Nothobranchius furzeri: one gene and its partners. The protein of the gene in region 2 purifies or fractionates together with the protein of the main gene of each other region. This does not show direct contact. Links are inferred from orthologs where the notes say so. Each region holds a gene or a part of one and is shown on either strand. Other genes may lie near its edges.

What was found.
Region 1: the proteins of cdk5 (region 2) and cct3 purify together in Homo sapiens (affinity purification with mass spectrometry; 3 studies listed by BioGRID and IntAct, with this or other methods). This does not show direct contact. The link is inferred for Nothobranchius furzeri from reciprocal best matches to the Homo sapiens genes CDK5 and CCT3.
Region 3: the proteins of cdk5 (region 2) and c2cd5 purify together in Homo sapiens (affinity purification with mass spectrometry; 6 studies listed by BioGRID and IntAct, counting the BioPlex papers as one, with this or other methods). This does not show direct contact. The link is inferred for Nothobranchius furzeri from reciprocal best matches to the Homo sapiens genes CDK5 and C2CD5.

What each region holds. Positions count from the first base shown.
Region 1 is NC_091759.1:9,430,301-9,436,833, forward strand, and holds the start of cct3 (T-complex protein 1 subunit gamma), read right to left. Parts: upstream 3,392-6,533; 5' UTR 3,289-3,391; coding exon 3,261-3,288; intron 1,996-3,260; coding exon 1,934-1,995; intron 1,652-1,933; coding exon 1,601-1,651; intron 1,507-1,600; coding exon 1,444-1,506; intron 1,359-1,443; coding exon 1,262-1,358; intron 1,159-1,261; coding exon 1,041-1,158; intron 875-1,040; coding exon 688-874; intron 576-687; coding exon 426-575; intron 349-425; coding exon 216-348; intron 110-215; coding exon 28-109; intron 1-27. Other genes in the region: pdia8 (protein disulfide-isomerase A3), read right to left, coding at 4,256-4,345, 4,431-4,488, 4,572-4,651, 4,758-4,886, 4,975-5,083, 5,990-6,172, 6,262-6,387, 6,477-6,533. UniProt on the Homo sapiens protein: Component of the chaperonin-containing T-complex (TRiC), a molecular chaperone complex that assists the folding of actin, tubulin and other proteins upon ATP hydrolysis.
Region 2 is NC_091751.1:49,908,069-49,914,601, reverse strand, and holds the end of cdk5 (cyclin-dependent kinase 5), read right to left. Parts: intron 4,665-6,533; coding exon 4,568-4,664; intron 3,235-4,567; coding exon 3,165-3,234; intron 3,068-3,164; coding exon 3,007-3,067; intron 2,893-3,006; coding exon 2,812-2,892; intron 2,701-2,811; coding exon 2,614-2,700; 3' UTR 2,343-2,613; downstream 1-2,342. UniProt on the Homo sapiens protein: Proline-directed serine/threonine-protein kinase essential for neuronal cell cycle arrest and differentiation and may be involved in apoptotic cell death in neuronal diseases by triggering abortive cell cycle re-entry. Interacts with D1 and D3-type G1 cyclins.
Region 3 is NC_091744.1:70,675,007-70,681,439, reverse strand, and holds part of c2cd5 (C2 domain-containing protein 5), read right to left. Parts: intron 4,887-6,433; coding exon 4,833-4,886; intron 3,352-4,832; coding exon 3,237-3,351; intron 2,658-3,236; coding exon 2,559-2,657; intron 2,473-2,558; coding exon 2,361-2,472; intron 2,270-2,360; coding exon 2,190-2,269; intron 2,101-2,189; coding exon 1,914-2,100; intron 1,766-1,913; coding exon 1,601-1,765; intron 954-1,600; coding exon 909-953; intron 579-908; coding exon 438-578; intron 364-437; coding exon 300-363; intron 212-299; coding exon 150-211; intron 75-149; coding exon 1-74. UniProt on the Homo sapiens protein: Required for insulin-stimulated glucose transport and glucose transporter SLC2A4/GLUT4 translocation from intracellular glucose storage vesicle (GSV) to the plasma membrane (PM) in adipocytes.

The DNA of each region.
Region 1 (6,533 bases), on a different chromosome or scaffold from region 2:
AGTTCTCTGCGTAACAAACAAATATACCTGGCAATGCGGTTGTTGTCAGTCTTCCTCACACGGCGAATGGCAGTGATGTTTGCCTTCACCAAGTAGTGCTGAGCCAGATCTGAACGAGTAAAGAAGAGTTAGGACTGAATAACAGTTCTTTTTAAGCTGCCTTTGTAATGCAAAGACTGAACAACAGAGAAAAACACCAAAAGTTGTTCAGGTACCTGAAATGCCCTTTTCAGTGAAGACCAAGTCTGGTTTGAGGCGGATGATGTCCTCACAGATCTGATGGATGTATTCTTCCTCCAGCTGTAGGATCTTGGCAAAGTCCTCCTCCTTAGTTATCTCTATGTCTGTCTGTAGAATAAATGTGAGTTAAATACTGATTTATATAATCTGGTTATGTTCTAAGACAAAGAAGCAGCTCACTATACCTGGCTCTCCCCCTTTTTGTACTCCAGAGAACAGTCCAGCAGGAGGATACGGGGATTTTTGATCATTCGCCTCATTCTTGGGTGAGTCACATCTTTGTTCACCATCACTCCTTTCAGCACACAGGAATCCTCGATGATTCCACCTGGAACCTGAACACAACACGGGAGATGTGAGACAAAAGAATGAATGCAATTAATGCAGGAAACACTTGATCTTCTGTTCTAACCTAAAGTGATCAGGTGTAATGAGCAACAGTCGTACCTTCTCTACTTTGGCGTACTTCTTGATGTCAATCTCTTTGCGCCCGTTCTCTTCCAGCTCCACCGTACGAACGGCGTCCAGCGCGATGTTGCAGGCCAGCTCCGACCAGCGGCTCAGAGCTTTGGTGTTGATGGCAGAGTGAACAATCTTCAGCATCATGGAGCGGTCTGAAGTGTCCACGGGGATGCTGGAGGAGGACAACAATATTCAGTCAAACTTCCTGTACAAGTTTCACAAAATTAACTCATTCATAAATGTGTAATGTTATTTCTAAGCTGCTGTTTGGTTGGCTTACAACAAATCAAAAATAATTATAATGTAACAAGGAGGCGATGGAAACTGTCAGACTCTACCTGATTTCCTTCAGTGTGTCCAACATGTCCTCCAGAGCCTGTCTGTAAGCACTGATGATCACTGTTGGATGCATCTGCTGCTCCAGAAACTGTTCAGCTACAGCCAACATCTCTCCAGCTGAAATTTGAGACATTAAATGACGGATGTTAAATAAAACAAACTGAATTCCCTCTAAAGGGGAAGTCTGAGCTTCTTTAGATTAAAAATAAAGCTTTTATACCCAGTATGATGACTGATGTGGTCCCATCTCCCACCTCTTCATCCTGTGTGCGACTGATCTCGATCATCGACTTGGCTGCGGGATGCTGTACCTGAATCTGTTGCCATGGAGAAGCAGGATGTTATGAAACACTGAAGGAATTGATGAAGTGACAAACTTCCAAGTGTTTATGTGACCCTGACCTCTCGGAGGATGGCATTTCCATCGTTTGTCATTACGATTCCTCCTGTAGGGTCAAGCAACATCTAGACAAAATGACATGAAAACATGGAATATTACGGACTTATTTTATTTTTGTAAATGACTGGGTGCGGTGATTCTCTGTATAGACAAACTCACCTTCATCATGGCCCGTGGGCCGAGGCAGGTCCTGATCACATCGGCTATGGTCTAAAATAGATTGCACAAGAACAATATATGTAAGGGCTGGGGGAATAAAACAATTTTAAAACAAATGAAGCATTTTTCTCTTCAGAGACTGATCTCAGTCTATTAAGAGGAATTTCTACTCTAGTCTGGCCTTTTCTTTCCCAGCTACTCAACGTCTCCATATTAAAAACAAAAAAACAGCCTAGATTGGCTAATCTCAAACATTAAACAGTTTTCTTCCGCACTCAAAAGACAGATGAGACTGTCTAACACAAGCTTTAACGTTTTACAGCAACAACTGACCTTTGCTGCATTGATGTTTCCAGTTTGGACTTTACGTCCTGATTCTCTCTTCACATTCTGGTCTAAAAAGAGACAAGAAAACAGAGAAATCACTACAGAGTCACCTAATTGAAGGGTGTTTTTGCTTCAAAACACAGATAGCCATTATTTCGAGTGACCCAATTAAATGACTAGCAATTCGAAATTGTTGGTTTTAAAGAAGTAATTTATCAGTATGGTTAGCAATCCCATGCCTGCCAGATCGATAACAAACCAACACATTACATTAAAAAAAATCAATAAAAACAGCTGTGTATAAATATGTGACAGATCATTTTTGACAAATGTCCAACACTGTTAAAATGCTTCAAAATTAATGAATATGATTTACCAGTCACGTAGGCCAAAGTGCATCTATGACTAGAATCCTTTGTAGTAAATTATTCTCCTTACTAACTGAGTTGTTGCATCTTTATTTAAAATCAATTTTGTTGGATTGTATCATTAAACTAGTAATATCTATACAGCTAAATAAAACATTTTCTTATTGCATTCCAAATAAAATGAGTGTTTCGAATATTTAAATAATTTTTTTGTTGTCGTAATTTTTTTATTATGTTATACTCTTCTTTTTAGCTCCTATAATGAATTTAATTGCTGCTGTGACACCAAAATCCCCCCACTGAGGGAGCTATCTATTCTAGTCTAAAATAATTGTAAAGACAAAATGGACGGAATATACCAGTACAGATAGAGCTTTCGTGATTTCAGACACTATGAATGAATGAATTTTGATTTTTGCAGGATAACAATGCTGTCAATTCGCAATTACAGGCTATCAAATAGATCAATCGAAATCGGAATGTATTAAAGCGGATGCTTATTTTGTTGTTCAGTTCAGTCACAGCGCACACACAAAACTAATTCAAAATCGTGTTTAATAGCTGCATCAAAGGTAATTTCATGTCTTTTTTAATTATTATATAATGTTCGCAGTTGTCTAACTGCACGCTCATGATGAGTAAGAGGACTGTTAGCTTAAGCTAGCCTAGCCTAGCATACCTACACGCTTTCCGCTACTTCCGAACACGAGCTAAATATGCTAATGATGCCGGTTGGGTGTGGATGCTATCAGTAGCATGTAGGCTAACAATGCTAATACCGGTGGAAGAAGCTGATGCTCGGCTGAGTTATAACAGTTGGTTAGCGCATCCTTAGCTGCTTTGTGTCCCAGCCGATCTGCCCCGCGTTCAAACGGTCACAAAATTGACTAAATTGCAGAAACTGGCGGGAAGTAACCGACATCTAACTATTGAAAGTATAGTTAAGAACAAATTTCGATACTTACTAAGCACTAAAACCTGCTGGCCGAGCATTTTGAGACCACGACGCTAACAGCACTAGCCTCGAAGGTTCTGGGTGGCACGAGGAGAGGGACGGCTCAGACAAAATGGGCAAGACATTACTTGAGGTCCGGCCAATTAGCAAAGACTATTATTTTTGATTGACATGCGCATTCACCAATAGAGTGAATGAGGTAAACTCTTCTAGTAATAGGCCTTTTATGGAGAAAACCTAATAGAAATAGAACCCACAACGATTTAGCAAAAAAAAAAAAAAATTTTTTTTACGAAGATTGAAAATGACTTTTATGTGTTTTAACACTCGTGGAACTTGCAAAGTTTGTTCAGTTGATCCCAGCTATTATTATTAAGCTTTATTACAACACACAGGCATGGAAATAATGGTTGAGCAAACTCAGGCACACTGAAGTATAATTTAAAAATTAAATTTCTTTTTAAATCCCATCATAAAAACAACGGCTGAAAACAATTTTACAAAAGCTATTAAGGCGTATTAATTCATGAGAATTTAATTAACAGTCAGTTGTCAAGCATGGTTTTATTACATAATCTCAGCAGAGCTTCTCAACATAACAAAGCTCACAAAATAACCAAAGACTGCCAAAGTATAAGTAATTAAGTCAATAAATAAATAAATAAATAAAAACTAAACACAGCACCAAATACAAACTGCACAGATGGTATTATATCAAAATGCATTTAGTTTTCTGGAATAAAAAAACAAAGAATTGCACATGAAATGGCTTTATAAATGAATAAATATATAAATAGTTCTATTCAGCAAGGACATGGTTTTAGAGGGGAGTATGGAAAGAATCTGATTGGTAGAAACAAAAATGGGTGGACCATGTCCTGATTCGTTGTTTCTGGTGTGTCACCAGGAGCAGAGCTCTTGCTGCCCATTCATGTCTGTGTAGCTGTTACAAGACTTGATCTTTTTGTTAATCAAAGTCAGTTCTGATCAGTAGGTGAATCTTTGTCACAGTTCGTCCTTAAACCCAGTCAGCACCAGACCATGACTCGCCTCACTCTTCAGGAACTTTAGGAAGTCTTTGAGCTCTCGAGTGCCCTGAAATCAAGATGTCCCACAACCATTAGACATCATGTGTCTCAAAGATTGATGAACTCAAGCTGAAACTATTAAAACTTGGTACCTGGTATCGAATGGGCTCATCCTTTTTACCCACTGGAGCAAAATAGATGGTTGGAAACCTGGAGAGAAGAATAAAATCATAGGAAATAAAGACTCATGAATTTTCTTCTTTAAAAGTGCTCATCAACATCGTCATCCTCACCCTTGGACATCGTATCCCAGTGGGATGTCATTATAGACGGCGTTCATCTTGGCAATGACAATGTTTGGGTCAGAATGCAACTGAGAACACATAAAGAGCATTTTCAGATTACTATCAGAGCAACACGACCTAATTCTAGAGTTTAGTGCACTGAAACTTAATCAAAAATACAATAAAGCTGTGTACCGTGTCAGCCAGCTCTCTGTAGACCGGCTCCAGCTTCTTGCAGTGTGGACATAGCGGGGAAAAAAACTGAATCAGAACATCTTTAGCAGGATCGTTCACGATTTCATCAAATGATTCTGCGACAACCACCTGCGGTGTTGAAGACAAAAGGAGGTCAGCACAAATTTTTTACAATCAGTATTTACAATCAGTCACGCTCACAAGCAGCTCAGCTCACCTTAACAGGAGCCGTGTTTTTCTCAGGTAAAGGTTCTGATTTTATGTAACGTTTGAGACGACCGGCAAAATAATCTTCAAGGAACCTCCCCAGTGACTGACCATCCCTCCTGAAACACACCAGTCAACTTTTAGTATCCTGAAGACTGACCAGCTGTCATTCATGCAATGTGAGCAGCATTTTCAAGACAGGGTATCTGCAGGTTTAAGGGAGCCAAATTTAAGACTTTTTAAGACCTTTTTAAGGCCACTTTGACCAAATTTAAGCTTGTCGTCGTCTTCCTCCACTTATCCGGGTCCGGGTCACGGGGGCAGCATCCCAACTAGGGAGCACCAGACCATCCTCTCCCCGGCCACCTCCACCAGCTCCTCCGGCAGGATCCCAAGGCGTTCCCGGACCAGATTGGAGATGTAACCTCTCCAACGTGTCCTGGGTCAACTCGGGGGCCTCCTGCCGGCAGGACAAGCCTGAAACACCTCCCCAGGGAGGCGTCCAGGAGGCATCCTGACCAGATGCCCAAACCACCTCAACTGGCTCCTTTCGATCCAGATCCAAATTGAAGCTATTTTTTAAATTAATTTTAAGCTATAATTTCTAGCTATTGCCTGGAACCGGTGCTAACCACGTCGCAAACATGGGATTAGCCATCCAGTTACCATTAAACTTGCACTTCTCCATGGCGCAAGCTCCCACTAGCTTAACCAGCTAACGTGCTCATCTAAAAATAGTCCCCTTTCACAACCAACTGAATGTGTACGGTTCCGCTTACGCCAGTATCGTACACAAAAAATGCTGAAATTCACGAAAATGTCATAGAAATAAAATAATCTAGTTTATTGGGTCTTTGGTAATTTAAGACCTTTGGAAACTGTATTTAAGGATTATTTGTCATTTTTAAAGATTTTCAAGGCCTTTGGAAAAGTAAATTTAAGGACCCGCGGATACCCTGCAAGAGAAAATTAATGAATAAAAGCATTTCAATGGACGTTTAGCCCCGTTTGACCCTAAAACCTACGTGAATTCTTCCCTCATGACATATTTGTGTCCCAGTTTGGTCCGGATTGTGACAAACGGGAGCTCTCCTCCATCTGATGTTCCCAGACCATATTCGTCCTCCAGCTCAGCTTGGAAGTCCTTTTTATTGGCTACTGAGAACATTAAACCACGCCCAGTGTATTTAGATGCCACCTTCATCACCCTGGTGACAGGACATACAGCAAAGAGATCTAAACACACATTTCCTGTCCACACACTCAACCACCTGCCACCTGTATGTTTGTATGCTACCTGTTCCTCCAGTAGTTGGACCCTCTAACGTTGTGATGATAATCCAAGTCATAATACGCCGTCAAGAGGTCACGAACTCTCAGACGATCTCGGGTCTCCAGCGTCATGTGAGGACACATTCCATATCTGTACACACAGATGGAGTGAAACTGTGAGACATTGGCTTCTTTACTGTCCTTCATATGCATTCAATGAAATAAAAAAAAGAGTCTCACATGTGATCTCTGATGAAGCGTCTCAGGGAGCTAATAGTCAGGTAATCTTTGAAGACA
Region 2 (6,533 bases):
CCTGGCCAGAGTGTGGAAGTTGGTCACGCCCCTTTTGCACCCTTAATCTGCACTTATCCCACGTCTGCATCAATGCAGACTTGACTGAAGGCTATTACCCACAATCCATTGCTGCGGGAGAAAAGGCTCAAGTGCCTTTTTTGAAAATATGTATTTTCAAATGAAAGTAGTTAATTTTAGGACAATTGATGCTCTGAATTTTTTGGACAAAGCAGCAATGAATATAAATTTCTTTCAAACAACTCTTTGGTTGTTAAGTTTTATTTATTTATTATGTAGCACTGCTACCAGCATCCCAGCATGCATAGTGGTCAATGATGCAATGCTTTTTGTCCCAATTTGGCAATTATTTGGACACTCGTGTACCATGCACTCAAAGCCTTGCTGCACACTTCCTCCAAAAGCACTTCACAGAAGATGTAGGGCGCAGTGCGAGTATTGGGATTGGGCCTATTGCAAACCAAGATGGGTGAGTCCATGAATGCTAATTTTCAGGGTGACGGAGATCTGACTGGCTTTTGTAATCGCATGTTTGCCTGACTATCAGCAGCTAATGCAGGAAATAGGGGTAAATGACTATTTTCACATTCAGCCTGCATGTTACTTTCATAGTGACCAATCATATTTGAAAAATAAATAAGTGTTTTCTGCTCAATAATCTTATCAGATACAAAAGTCAAATACAAATTATAAATTCCAAAAGACCTAGAATGATGTGAAACTTTCAAAATTGTACTAATTAGGAAAACTTTCCATTACTGAACTGTCTATATTTAATTACTAATCCACATTTTGTGTTGATCAAACCAACAAAAATAGAAAATCTGCATTAAAAATCCTGCAAATAATTTCACATATAATTGAAAAGATATATTTGTGCAGATTTTACTGTGTCTTAGTGGCTTAAACATACAGTCACAATGTTTCTCCCAGGTTCTAGCCAAAACAGAGGTCAAAGTGCAAAACCAACCCTTCATTTAAGTTTGAAAAAGCTGTAAAACAAAATCTAAAAAGAGGCAATAAAACAACTTTTCTACAGAGAATGTTTCTGTACAATAGAAAAATGTTTGGTACATTTCATAAATAAGAATAAAAACACTCCATTCTTAATAAATACATGCATTCATTGTCTCACATAATTAAATGGAAAAACGGTTTAGTGAGACAGATGCGTTAGACAACACTCATGCTGTTGGCTTCATACAGCAGCAGTAACCATGGAGATGAAACAAACAGCTGTTATAACATGTTACAAATGGAAACTGATACTGGTGAAAACAATCATAAAAAATGTGAAACTGATTCTTGTCATTTTATTTGCATTTCTACCCCCCAAAATATATAAACCATAATAAATATAAAAGAGCCATAAAATGTCACTATTCTATTTATTGATGGCTGTAATTTTTTGAAGAAGTGTAAAGTTAATGAACACTACTGGTGGAAATAGGAAAAACAGATAAATTGCATGAAATAACTAAGAAAGAACTAAATTAGTTTCTATTATTTTGCAATCTAGAAATAGACACAATTAGTGAATGTCCATAAGCATTTAAACCTCTGATGAGATAAATGAGTCGCGTTGTAGACGAGCATGGCCTTTTGTAGCTTTTGGCAACTTACCACTAACAAACAAGCTCCAAAAATTTAGATAAATATACACGGATCTTGTGACTTACAGATTTAAACATGGTCATAATAAATGGCTGACGCTATAGATTTGTATATATACACAAAACTACTTAAAGATCAGGTTTGGTGCATCTTTACTGCACATAGATGTTGTATGTGGAAGTTCAGAGAGAGAACGAGGGACTGATCCAGCTCTGATCAAAGGTTGTGTGACGTGATTTGGGGACTGTCCGGACACGTTAATGCAGAACTGAGCTGTCTGTTTGGTCTGTGTCAAGTACCCAAGTGGGTACAATAATAATAAAATCAGTGTGTGCAAAAAATCTCATAAAAGACTTCACATCTACTGCCATCTTTACATTATTTGTCCAGAGTCACAGGATTTCAGTCGCTGTCTGAGCTCATTTACTTTCACATTTTCCCATTCCTGCTAGTATAAATATTTGTTAAGGGGATTAAAATGTCTGTACACATCTCTGCAGATTCAGTCGGTTTAAGCTACTTCCTTAGGGATACTACTGACTCTTTTACAAAGGCTGAGTGAGTAATTGATGCGTTATATACAAGCACTTTGATTCTCAAGCATCTGAGATAATTAAACAAGTTAAATGAGTATCGATTAGGACAAATCCCAGTTAAAACTTAATAAATTAAAATTCTGATAATAAAACACTATTAAAACAGGCAAAATAGCAGGAAATAAACAATTCTAGGAATATATAAAAAAAAATTTATTCAATGCAACATCTGCTCATGTTGGTGCTAACTGGCTGAGGTGTGTTTGGACCAAATTACACAGGCATTTAACTTAGAAGGCCCTAAAACACAGCAGAGCCACCGGGGCTTTGTTTCACACACAGGCACAAAAGAACGAACTGCTCAAGTACCAGTGAGGGGTTTGAGAGGTGGTTCTAATGATAAAACGAGTGATGGATTATTGGTTCCTGTGTCTCTGATCCTCAGTAAGGAGCAATTTAGTGTTTAGGGTGGGCAGAAATCAGCAAAGTAAGGGTGCTGCAAGGCCTCTTCCGCTGAAATCCTCTGGACAGGATTACATTTCAACAGGTTCTGGATCAGATCAAGGGAAAGGTTTTAATGAGCAACAATCTGTGCAAAGCATAAAAGCTGACAACAGTCATGCATTGAATTATTTTTTTATAAATAGAAATGTTGAAGTACCTGCAGTAGATCTCGTCCTGTGCTGCTTAGCTTGGGAACCACGTTCACCAGTGATGTGGTGGCTGGATACATGGGATATGGCTGGTGGAAGAATACAAGAGTAGCAGTGTCTTTATTGGAAAAAAGGTCCAAAAATCTTGTGTTGGAACCAACGTCCAAGGCTGCTGTCAAGAGAAAATCAGCCACTAAATTTACCTTGTAATCAGGAAGCTTCGTCATAGTCGGCCACTGTTCCTCGGTGGGTGTTCCCAACAATGTAGGCAGTGGTTAAAGACTAAATGTTTACAGGAATAATAATAAAAACAGAAGTCTACTCTTGGTAACAGATGGACAGATTTACTGGCAAAGGATATCTGAAGATTCTTTTCAGCTGGTCGTCCACGTCATTGCCAGGGAATAATGGCCGTCCAGCATTAGCCAGCTCTAGAGCAAAACAACAAAACATCGGATTTTTTTAAATGCAACACTTGAACAAGTGTTCCCTAATCAATGCCTCAGCACCGCTCTCTTGGTCCACCAGGCGACACCTCCTTTTGGTTTCAAACAGGAAGTGTAGGTGGAGTGAGACTCTGGTGGGAGGGTGACTTGCTCTTTAAAGAAACACTAAAGAGTTTAACAGTTTAAGGTAATGCTTTCAAGCTGGTTTCAGTGGTTCTTGAACCCGAAGTTGAGCAGCTTCACATGTGACAGCACTCTGCAGCTCTCTTCTGGCCAGAAACTGCACCAAGCAACTTTGTGGTTCAGGAAAGGACAAGTGAGAGGTGCAGCAACAGTTGGGGTGTTTACTATGCTGGTAGCTAATAAAAAGGCTACCAGGTAGCTCTTTTTAGTTTGTTGATCATTAGTTAAAAAAAAGTGTAAAAAGAAGAGTTTTTTGTTTGCATCATGGTGGTGCCTGGAAGTAAAAAGAGAGGCAAAGCAAAGAAAGCATGAACTGGACAAAGAGTGAACATTGGTGCGGTCTACATTGGAGGCTGTGGCAGGATTAACCAGTTTGACTATTAACCGTGGTTAACGCCACCAGGTGGCGGCTACCTATTAAAAATCAAGACAATAGCACGGGCACGGACAAAAACAAAAGTGAAACTGAATGCGCACACACAGCAGAAGCAGGACCAGTGACAACCACCATCAGGACTGCTCCATTTCTACCGAGGAAACAGTTGTAGTCTCCTGTGTGGGAAGATATCTAATATCTAAAATATTCCCAACAATTACTTTGAGAGAAGGCACGAGGGACAGGTGTGAGGAAGGTCACAACTTTGAATAACTACTCTTCAGAATCCTCTCATCCCCTTGGGGTGATTACAAGAGGAGATTTCCCTTTCCTGAGTGATGGAGGAGGAGGAAATGATTTCTGATTCACAAGAGGACGTGAGGAAGCATAAGTTAGCATAATTTAAAGCATCAACGGTGTCACTGATTTCACTTAAGCAGGCATAAATAATCCTTCAGCTACTGTTGAGAGTAATTGAGCTGAAACTTAAAATACATATTTGGCTAAATAAATTCTCCTCATCAGCTAAAAAGCCACTGTGCTTACTGCACCTGAACTTCCCATGCATTCTTATACATCTGGATTTTATTTTGTACAAAGTAAAAGAATTGCATGAGATAAAACTGCAGTTGTAATTATTAGCTAATAGTAATCAAATTACTAAAGTAGATAAAATATGAATATTTAACCATTTACACACAAATAATGACTTATAAAAACTTTACCTTTCACATTCACAAGTGGAAAAAAATAACAAACCTGCAAATATGCACCCGGCTGACCACATGTCGATGGAGGTAGAATAAAGTTTAGCGCCAAATAAGACATCTGGAGGTCGATACCACAACGTCACCACCTGCAGAGACGTTAGCAGCATTACAACAGCCCAGTGTTTTGGTGCTTTTTGAGGTGAATCCAACTTGAAGTTCCCGCAGCACCGTTAACCTACACCCACCTCCATTTTAACTCAAGCGTTGGTGCATTTGACCAAATTGCTGCATTGCCGGCTATTTTACATTTATTCCTCCAAGTTTTGGAAAACACTGTCACCTGAAGTGCAGTAGAAGTCCAAATTATGATGCATTAACAGAACAGTGTGTGGGCTGGCTGGTTTTCAGCAACAAAGGATCAAAAGTTCTCACAGCGATGCTGATGTTAATGATGTGGCCACCTGTTACTGAAACAGCATTTTGTACATGAATGAACTGAACGTGTCACTGAGGTAAAGGAACACCCTGTAGAAAAACAAAAAGCTTCACAGAAGGTGCAAGATTTCTCCTGAAACAGCTGTGCTTGTTTATACTACCGAGTTTGTTTAAAACTGACAGAAGTAACTTTTGGTGTTTAACTTCAAGCTGCAGAAGAATTCTTTAGAAGTTTTGCTAAAAGGTTTGAAGAAATAGGATAAATAATGAGTAAAGAAGTCCCGGTCCCAACATATAAAAAACTATGGAACTAGGACTGGGACAATATTACATTAAACTTGTACTTAGTTTTGTAACTTGTAATATGTTTTGTAACTATGACGTTGTAGAATGTAATTTTCATTTTGTAACATGTAAAGCCGGGGGTACACTGTGCGACTTTTTCACTCGCAGCGTTCAGCTTCAGCTCAAACTGTACGACTTCCTCGCAGAGCAGATCTCACGAGTCGTGTGCTCACACTGTACGACCCAGTTCTCGCATGCGATCTGACTGCTCACACTGTACGTCTGGTAGCAACACGTCGGCCCTAAAAATGTGCTAAAAATAGCAGTTTTTACTCAACACGTCAGACTTTTTTGTCTTGCCTGTTGTCCTTCGGGAGTGCTGCAGGAGGACACACAGAGACTTATGGGGGTTGAATGAGGAAAATGAAATAAAGAAAGTGAATCTGTGTTTTGTGATCAGTTTAATTTGACATGAACACGACAAACACGCTTTCTTGACAATCTTTGTGAGTAAAAAAAACGTGTAGAAACAAAAACGAACAGCGTGTGTTATTAGGGAAATAGCGAGCGACCGGCCGGCGTTGATGCAGGATTGCGCGCGCATGCGCCGTGAGCGGTTCTGATACTTTTTTGGATCGTAGCTGCTCGCAGCTGCTCGCAGCGCTGCTTCAACAGTGCGATACCCTCACGAGGGATGAGCAAAATATTAAACACACCAGAAGTCCCTGCGACCTCACGACTGCTGATCGGCGGCTGGTCACGTGGTGTTAATCGCCTCTCGTAACCCCCTGCACACTACACGACCGCTCGGCGCAAAACTCGCCCCGATGTCGTGGATTCTCGCACGACTGGAAAATCGGCTCAAAAAAGTGAAAAAGTCGCACAGTGTACGCCCGGCTTAACTTCGGTACATACCATGAAACTTTCATTTTGCAACTTGCAGAAAACAATGTACAAATTTCAAATTACAACTTTCAACACACAAATCTCAGTCTAGTTACAAAACTCAAGTCTACAAATACAAAACATTTAGGAACAATTCTAGCTTGCAGGAAACAGGAATTTTATTTGAAAAGGAATCCAAGACTCATGATTGGCTGGTCAGACAAAGCCTGTCATTGGTTCTTTGGGAAGGAAGCTAGAATTTGGACAAAATGTTTTGTACTTGTAGACTGAGATTTGTGTGTTGAAAGTTGTAATTTGAAATTTGTACATTGATTGTTTTCTGCAAGTTACAAAATAAAAGTTACAGTTACAAAACATGTTACAGGTTACAAAGCTGGGTACAAGTTACA
Region 3 (6,433 bases), on a different chromosome or scaffold from region 2:
GTGAAGATCTTGTTAAGGCCTTGATTGGTTAGATTGGTATTGTTCAACCTAAGAACCCTGACTGATGTAAACATCTGTAACACATGTGAGGTGATGGTGAAAACCCTCATAACTAGCAGGGTGTCTGCATATTTAAATTGCAGGTGTACCTGTATTCCTGACGTCCAGTTATAAATCCCAGGCATGGTCTCAGTGCTGCAGCTGTGGAAACCTGCAAACAAAACAAAGAGAGCACAGAAATGCAAACAGCTGGAGCTTTAAGCCCTTATGGGGTAGGGGGGCAGGAGCGTTGCAGAAACCTGCAGGTGGAGGTGCATCAGTGAGGAGAGAGTGGATGTCCTCCACAGCGTCGGTGTCATCAATCTGCGAGGAAGACAGCTGATTATTATTGTGACTCATGCAAAGAGGTGAACTGGTGTGCACGTGTTTGTAGACACCTCCAGGACGAAGGCGTCCTTTTTGCCGTGTGATAGATCGAGTTCAGAGAGTTCATCAGAGCTTTCTGAGTGGGAGCGGAAAATTCTGGATCGCTGCCTCGGCTCGGGGATCGGGGAACCCACTCCTTCGTCTGTCAGCTCCTGCGAGCAAAGGAACATGAGTGAACGCTGGATTATTAACATATCAACTAACATACTGACTATGTTAGTAACTCTAGATGCCCACATTCACTCTGTGCTGCTTTACCGACACAAACACACACAAATAAAAAAAAATACAGAGATGGAACTGGGTTAAACTACAACACGTCACACGGACTTGGTGTGAGTTATGCATCACGTCGCTCACAAGTCTGGGGTTAAGAGCCGTCACACAGTTACAGCAAAGTTGGTCAATTATTGCGATTAATGATGTGAAGTATCTGCCATGCTTTGCTGCGTCTCCCAGCTAATATCTGTCATGCTCAGTACCATGGTGGTGCCGCAGAACACCTCTGGGTCCAGGGCAAATAATTTCTTTCAGAAAGAGACAAGAGGAAGTAGATTTACCTCGATTAAAAAAAAAAATGTCCGGAGCACAGACAGCAGTTTAATGACATTTTTTTCTGGAGGGAAGCTGCAGAAATCTTTGACATTTTGGCTGTAGCTTGCTGCCTTTCTTCTCATTTAAAAATAGTTTTTAGCAATTAAAAAGAAGACAGAAGATGGTGTTTATTCAAGCAAACCCCTCTCTTTATACTAAAATCCAACTCTACACAAGCTTGAAATGATTTCCAGATCCAACTAATTTAAATAACTTGTCATTTGGACTGTTTGTGTTACTGTTTAAAAGGAGCATGAAGCTAGAGTGACATCCTGTGGTCAAATGTGAGTACTGCACTCAATGTATCAAAACAAATGAGCCTGCTCTCATTTCACTGTCCTTGTGCATATCTGGAGGTAAATAATGGCAAAGTAAAAATATTTAATATACTTGTTTTGTAAGAAAGCATTGATTTTTATCATCATCTCTGGACTAAAAACAACCCTCCCCACTGGCACCTATTGTGCTGAAGCATTTTTGTACCTTTCCTTTACAACAGAGCCAAAGGAGACCAGACACGATCACAAAACACACGTTCCACCATCTTATTTCCTGTAAAACCCAGAGTTGTGTTTCTCACCGGAGGGTTTATTTGGTAGAGCTCTTTGTTCTTGGCGATGGCATCGTTGATTCTTTTCTGGATAGCTGCAACATGCTGCTCATTGTTCAGGTCGCCGGGAGTCTTCCCAGCAATCTGTATCCCTCCTGGTGCTGGCAGAGCAGTCAGGTACACTCCTGTGGCCGACTGAAAACACACACACACACACACACACACACACACACACACACACACACACACACACACACACACACACACACACACACACACACACACACACTTTTTAGAAGACACAAAAAGTTTTTCTTTTGTGTTTTCTAAAATATGGACCTACAGCTAATCCCAGGAGCATGTTTTCTCCAACACTGATCTGTATGTGGAGTCCAAAGAGAGCGTTCATGCTCCGTAGTTTCAGCTTATTCATCAGCTGAGTGTGCAGCTCGTATTCCATGAAAGGCAACAGGTTCGAAATGGCCGTTGCATTCACTTCTCCCTGGGCTTTCTTCTTCAGACGACACAATCTAGAAGAAAGCAATCGTGAGAATTTGGTATTTTTCAAAGTCTAAGTTGACTAAGGAGGCTATTTGTATATTTCCTGAAGTGTTTCTACCTGGCCTGAATGAGGCAGCCTTTTCCTGTGACAGCTGCTTCTGCTGGCAGATCGATTGTTGTGAAAAGCACATCAGGAACCTTGAAAGAATATGGCTGTTGTTTTAAACTTGTGACCAAGAAGAGAAAAATATAAAACAAACATGTTTTAACCAATTCTTAAGCTAACAACCTTTTGCCGTCTGCACTGGTAACAATACGCGAGCTGGGCAGGAAACGGCATGTTGAGCTCGTCGTATGGGATGTGACAGAAGCCACAGTTGGGAGGTGAAGGATCATCAAACCTGTGCAACGAACCCGACTCTTATTGCATCAAACTCTGAGATGAAACAGAATTCAATTTTTAAAATGTGCAAGAAATCTAATCAACCTGTGGTCGATGCTTCCAACGTCCAGGCAGCCTTCACGCATGTAGCGAGGATTCAAGATGGCTGCTGTGCCTGAAGCTGACAGGATACAGACCTCTTCGCTGTGATCAAAAGAAAATAAAAGAATAGTGGACTTATTTAGAAAGCTGCCTTATGATGTGCTTGACATTTTGCTGGAGGTTGCACTCCCAGGGATTTTTGACCCTAATGGCCATCCATTGGTAAGGTCTTATTTGAACACAAAAATAAGGCTTGCTTGCAATGATTTAGGTATGTACTGCCCCCGATCACCAGGAAAAATACACACCATCACTTTAAGACTCTTTGGGTTAAATTAAACGTTCCCCTTGGATCTGGGGTATCTCAGCGAACCCTGAGCACCAATGCAGCCATTTTGAATAGTATCAATGACTATTGCCATCTTCCTCTTTACCTCCATCTGACCACTTCCTTCTTTTTATGTCTGCTGCAATTTCCTCAGCTGCACCACGAGTCACCGCTGCAACAAGGACATGCAACTCGAAGGCAATAACATTTTTTCTGTGCATCTACATTACTCTCAGAGCTCTAGTCAGCATTCCACTCAAAGTTTTAATAAATGAGGCCTCTGGACATCAAAGACTGAAGCAGCCATTCAAAAAGAACATTTTTCCTGATTTCACGCAGGCGCCGCTGCGTACCAGATGCTCGTGTTCTCACTGTACCCAACGACAGCGTGGCAACCGAGAGCTTTGGCGTGCGATTTGATTTCCTGGCGAATCTCCTCCCACCAGGCATCGCGAGTCTCCGGTTCATCTGTAAAAACACAAAGTGATGAATCAAACAGCTTTAAAAAGCAGCTTTCTAACTTGATAAAATATATTTAACAGGCTTAGGCATCCGTCACAACCTCAAACACACTACTAGTGAGTCTGCATCTAATCTAACGACTCCGACTTACCAGTAAAGTTTACACACACAAAAACCTGGTGGTTTATGAGTCACATGACTTATTAAAGCAAGCAAAAACTGGTTGTCATTTTGTAAAACAAAGTGACACAGAGAATGATTTGTGAGCATTTGGAGACGATAAAGGCAATGTGAGGAGTTTGTGATGTTAGTAGCCTGGCTAGTCCTCGTCTCTGTGTCTCCTTTCAGTCGGCTCCACTCACAGAAAGGACACAGGAAATACGTGTGATCTGTACCTGTGAAGGCACAGTCATGCTAGCTGGAACAGAAGTAGGTAAGAGTACCTGATCTGCTTTTTGGTAAACTTGATCAATTTGAACAGATTGAGACTTTCTCAAATTTTGAGATTCAATAGAAATATCTCTGTGTTGTCGCTGTATGAAGGACTCTAGATTCTACAAGTTGAGCAATTAGAGGAACATTTCAGACATTTTAAGTGGTAAAAATTACAAACAGAACAGCGTCCGATCAACTTCCCCATACAGAGGCTGCTCAGGTGGCTATGTACAACAGGAAATATACACACAGTTCAAAATGGCCATAATATCCCTTTAACTCAACACGGGATGGTTGGTAAACACAAGAGGACTTGAAGGAAAACACAAAAGAGTGTGGCGCCAGAGCCCAACATGCTGACGGAAGCCTCAAAGGAAAAGAAATGGATTTAGGGAAAATGGTGAGTGATCAAACTATAGAGATGAAGAATGAGTGATGATCAGAGTGGGTTCATATAAAACCAGCAGCAGCGTGTCAGACAGGCACAGGCTCACCAACGTGCACACTCATGACTAGAGAAGGGCTATATTCATTCACTAGAGTACATTAAATATTTTTTTAATTAAAAAGAGGGATTAATTTTCCTCACATGCTCGCCCCATCAGTCTGCCTCCATACATCTGTCCATTCATCACTCGTCTCTCCTCTCACTCTCAGTATGAATACGGCCCAGTGAGTTAGGGATGCACATGCCCAGTAGGTGGCTCTATGATGCAGAGCAAACCTCCTAAACCTCCTCTGGTCTAGACAGGTTTGACCACTGACTCAGGAGGCACTAAGAACAACCCTGGGACGACGTCAGCGAAGGGCTGCAGCTCTGGGAAGCAGCAAGATGGGGGGTGGGGGGGAAGGCAGCCAGGCCAGGTTGGATGAAGCAGGGTGATGACACAGAGCATGCTCAGCTCAGCACACACACATACACACAGAGAACAGAAAGAGGAGGATGGCAGCTCAGTGAATTCATACATATATTTAAGTGTAAAAAGTTTAGATTTAGCTCCACTGAACCGCCATCGCTCTGATGGGTGAGAGCAGAAAAAGGGGGAAAATACCTGCAGTGACACTATTCCAGTCTAGCAGTTTGTATGAGCGCGCGTTACCCAAGGCTGGGCCAGAACACACCGTTAGTACAGAAAAGAGAGAGAAAAAGAAAGAAACAAACAAGCACAGCACAACAACAGCACTCCACAGTCACTATGAGAAGACAAACTACAGTCAGGACGATAAAACAATCGCAGAGAGGACTGATGAGGAAAGGAGGAGAATAGAGATGTTACAAAGCATAAAGGACTCCCTAAAAAGCCTAAGAATGAACAATAAGGGGAGTTTTATAATACCAAAAAGAACATGCAATGTTCATTTAACCCTGGCCATGGTTACTGATGTGCTCAGAGGATTTTCTTCTGTGTTCAGTCTAAAAAGCTCGCAAACTCCCCGCCACCGTAGGGGAAGCTTCCACATAAACGTGGAGAATCACACCCGCCAACTCTGCTACGGTTTGCTCTGAAATGGAATACATTTTAATATTTATTTAATTGAATTGCCAAATAATTTAACAAAATATTTAAACTGGGTAGACAAAAAAAACATTAAGATAATGAAAATGTGCTAAAAAGTGAAGTAAAAGAGACAATTTCCTTTAATTTATTACCTAAAAATTATTAAAACTGAGAATATTTTTTTCTAGTAGCTTACAACCTACAACCTATTGATTTGGCAATCTAACTGAAAAAAAACCTCCTGGCTGCCTTTAACTGGTTACCTGTAAAATGTTGCATTCTGTTCAAAATCCTGGCCTTTGTTTTTAACTCACTGTCTGGATCAGCACCACCATATTTAGACTCACTTGTGAACCATTATATCCCTGCTAGGTCTCTACGCTCGGTTCGGAGTGACCTGTTGGTGGTTCCTTGGTCAAAATGGTCAACACGCAAGTCTAGGGTTTACCGCGCATTATCAGTCACAGGTCCTTGGCTCTTAAGCCAACTTCCATCAGATCTAAAACAGTCCACGTCTGGATATTTTTAAAGCTTCATCTTAGATCATTTAGTTAGTTTCATTAATTATTTTAGTGTTTTTCCTGATTGCTCTTTGGTCCTATTGCTTATAATTTTTTATTGTTTTTAATGTTTTATGCTTTCATTTGACCATAATGTGCTTTTACAGAGTTTTTAATGATTATCTGCACTATGTACAGCACCTTGGGGCTTTATAAAAAAAAATCAATGTTTTTCCAGAATCAGTAGAGAAATACTGAGACTGGTATTTCATTTAGTATGACAATATTATTAGCAAAGATGATGTTTTAAAATCTCTGCTTTCGGCCACCATCCCTTCTTTTTGTTTAATCGGGATGGTAAAATAATCAGCAGAATAAATAAAAACTGCATTAGCTGCATGCCTGCATGGAAAACTAGTTATTGACGAGTTGATAATATCGACAAAGCACATAGAAGGCACCACATCCCATCATTCTGCCACCTGCAGCCAGCCAACAGACTGGAGCCATGCACATTATAAAAAAATCCCCATCACACCCTGCAGCAAAAAAAACAAAACACAAACACACACACCACCTGACCAGCACAAATGTACACAATTCCAGTCAAACAATGAAGTGATATGAAGCTAGAATTGGGACAATATTACATGC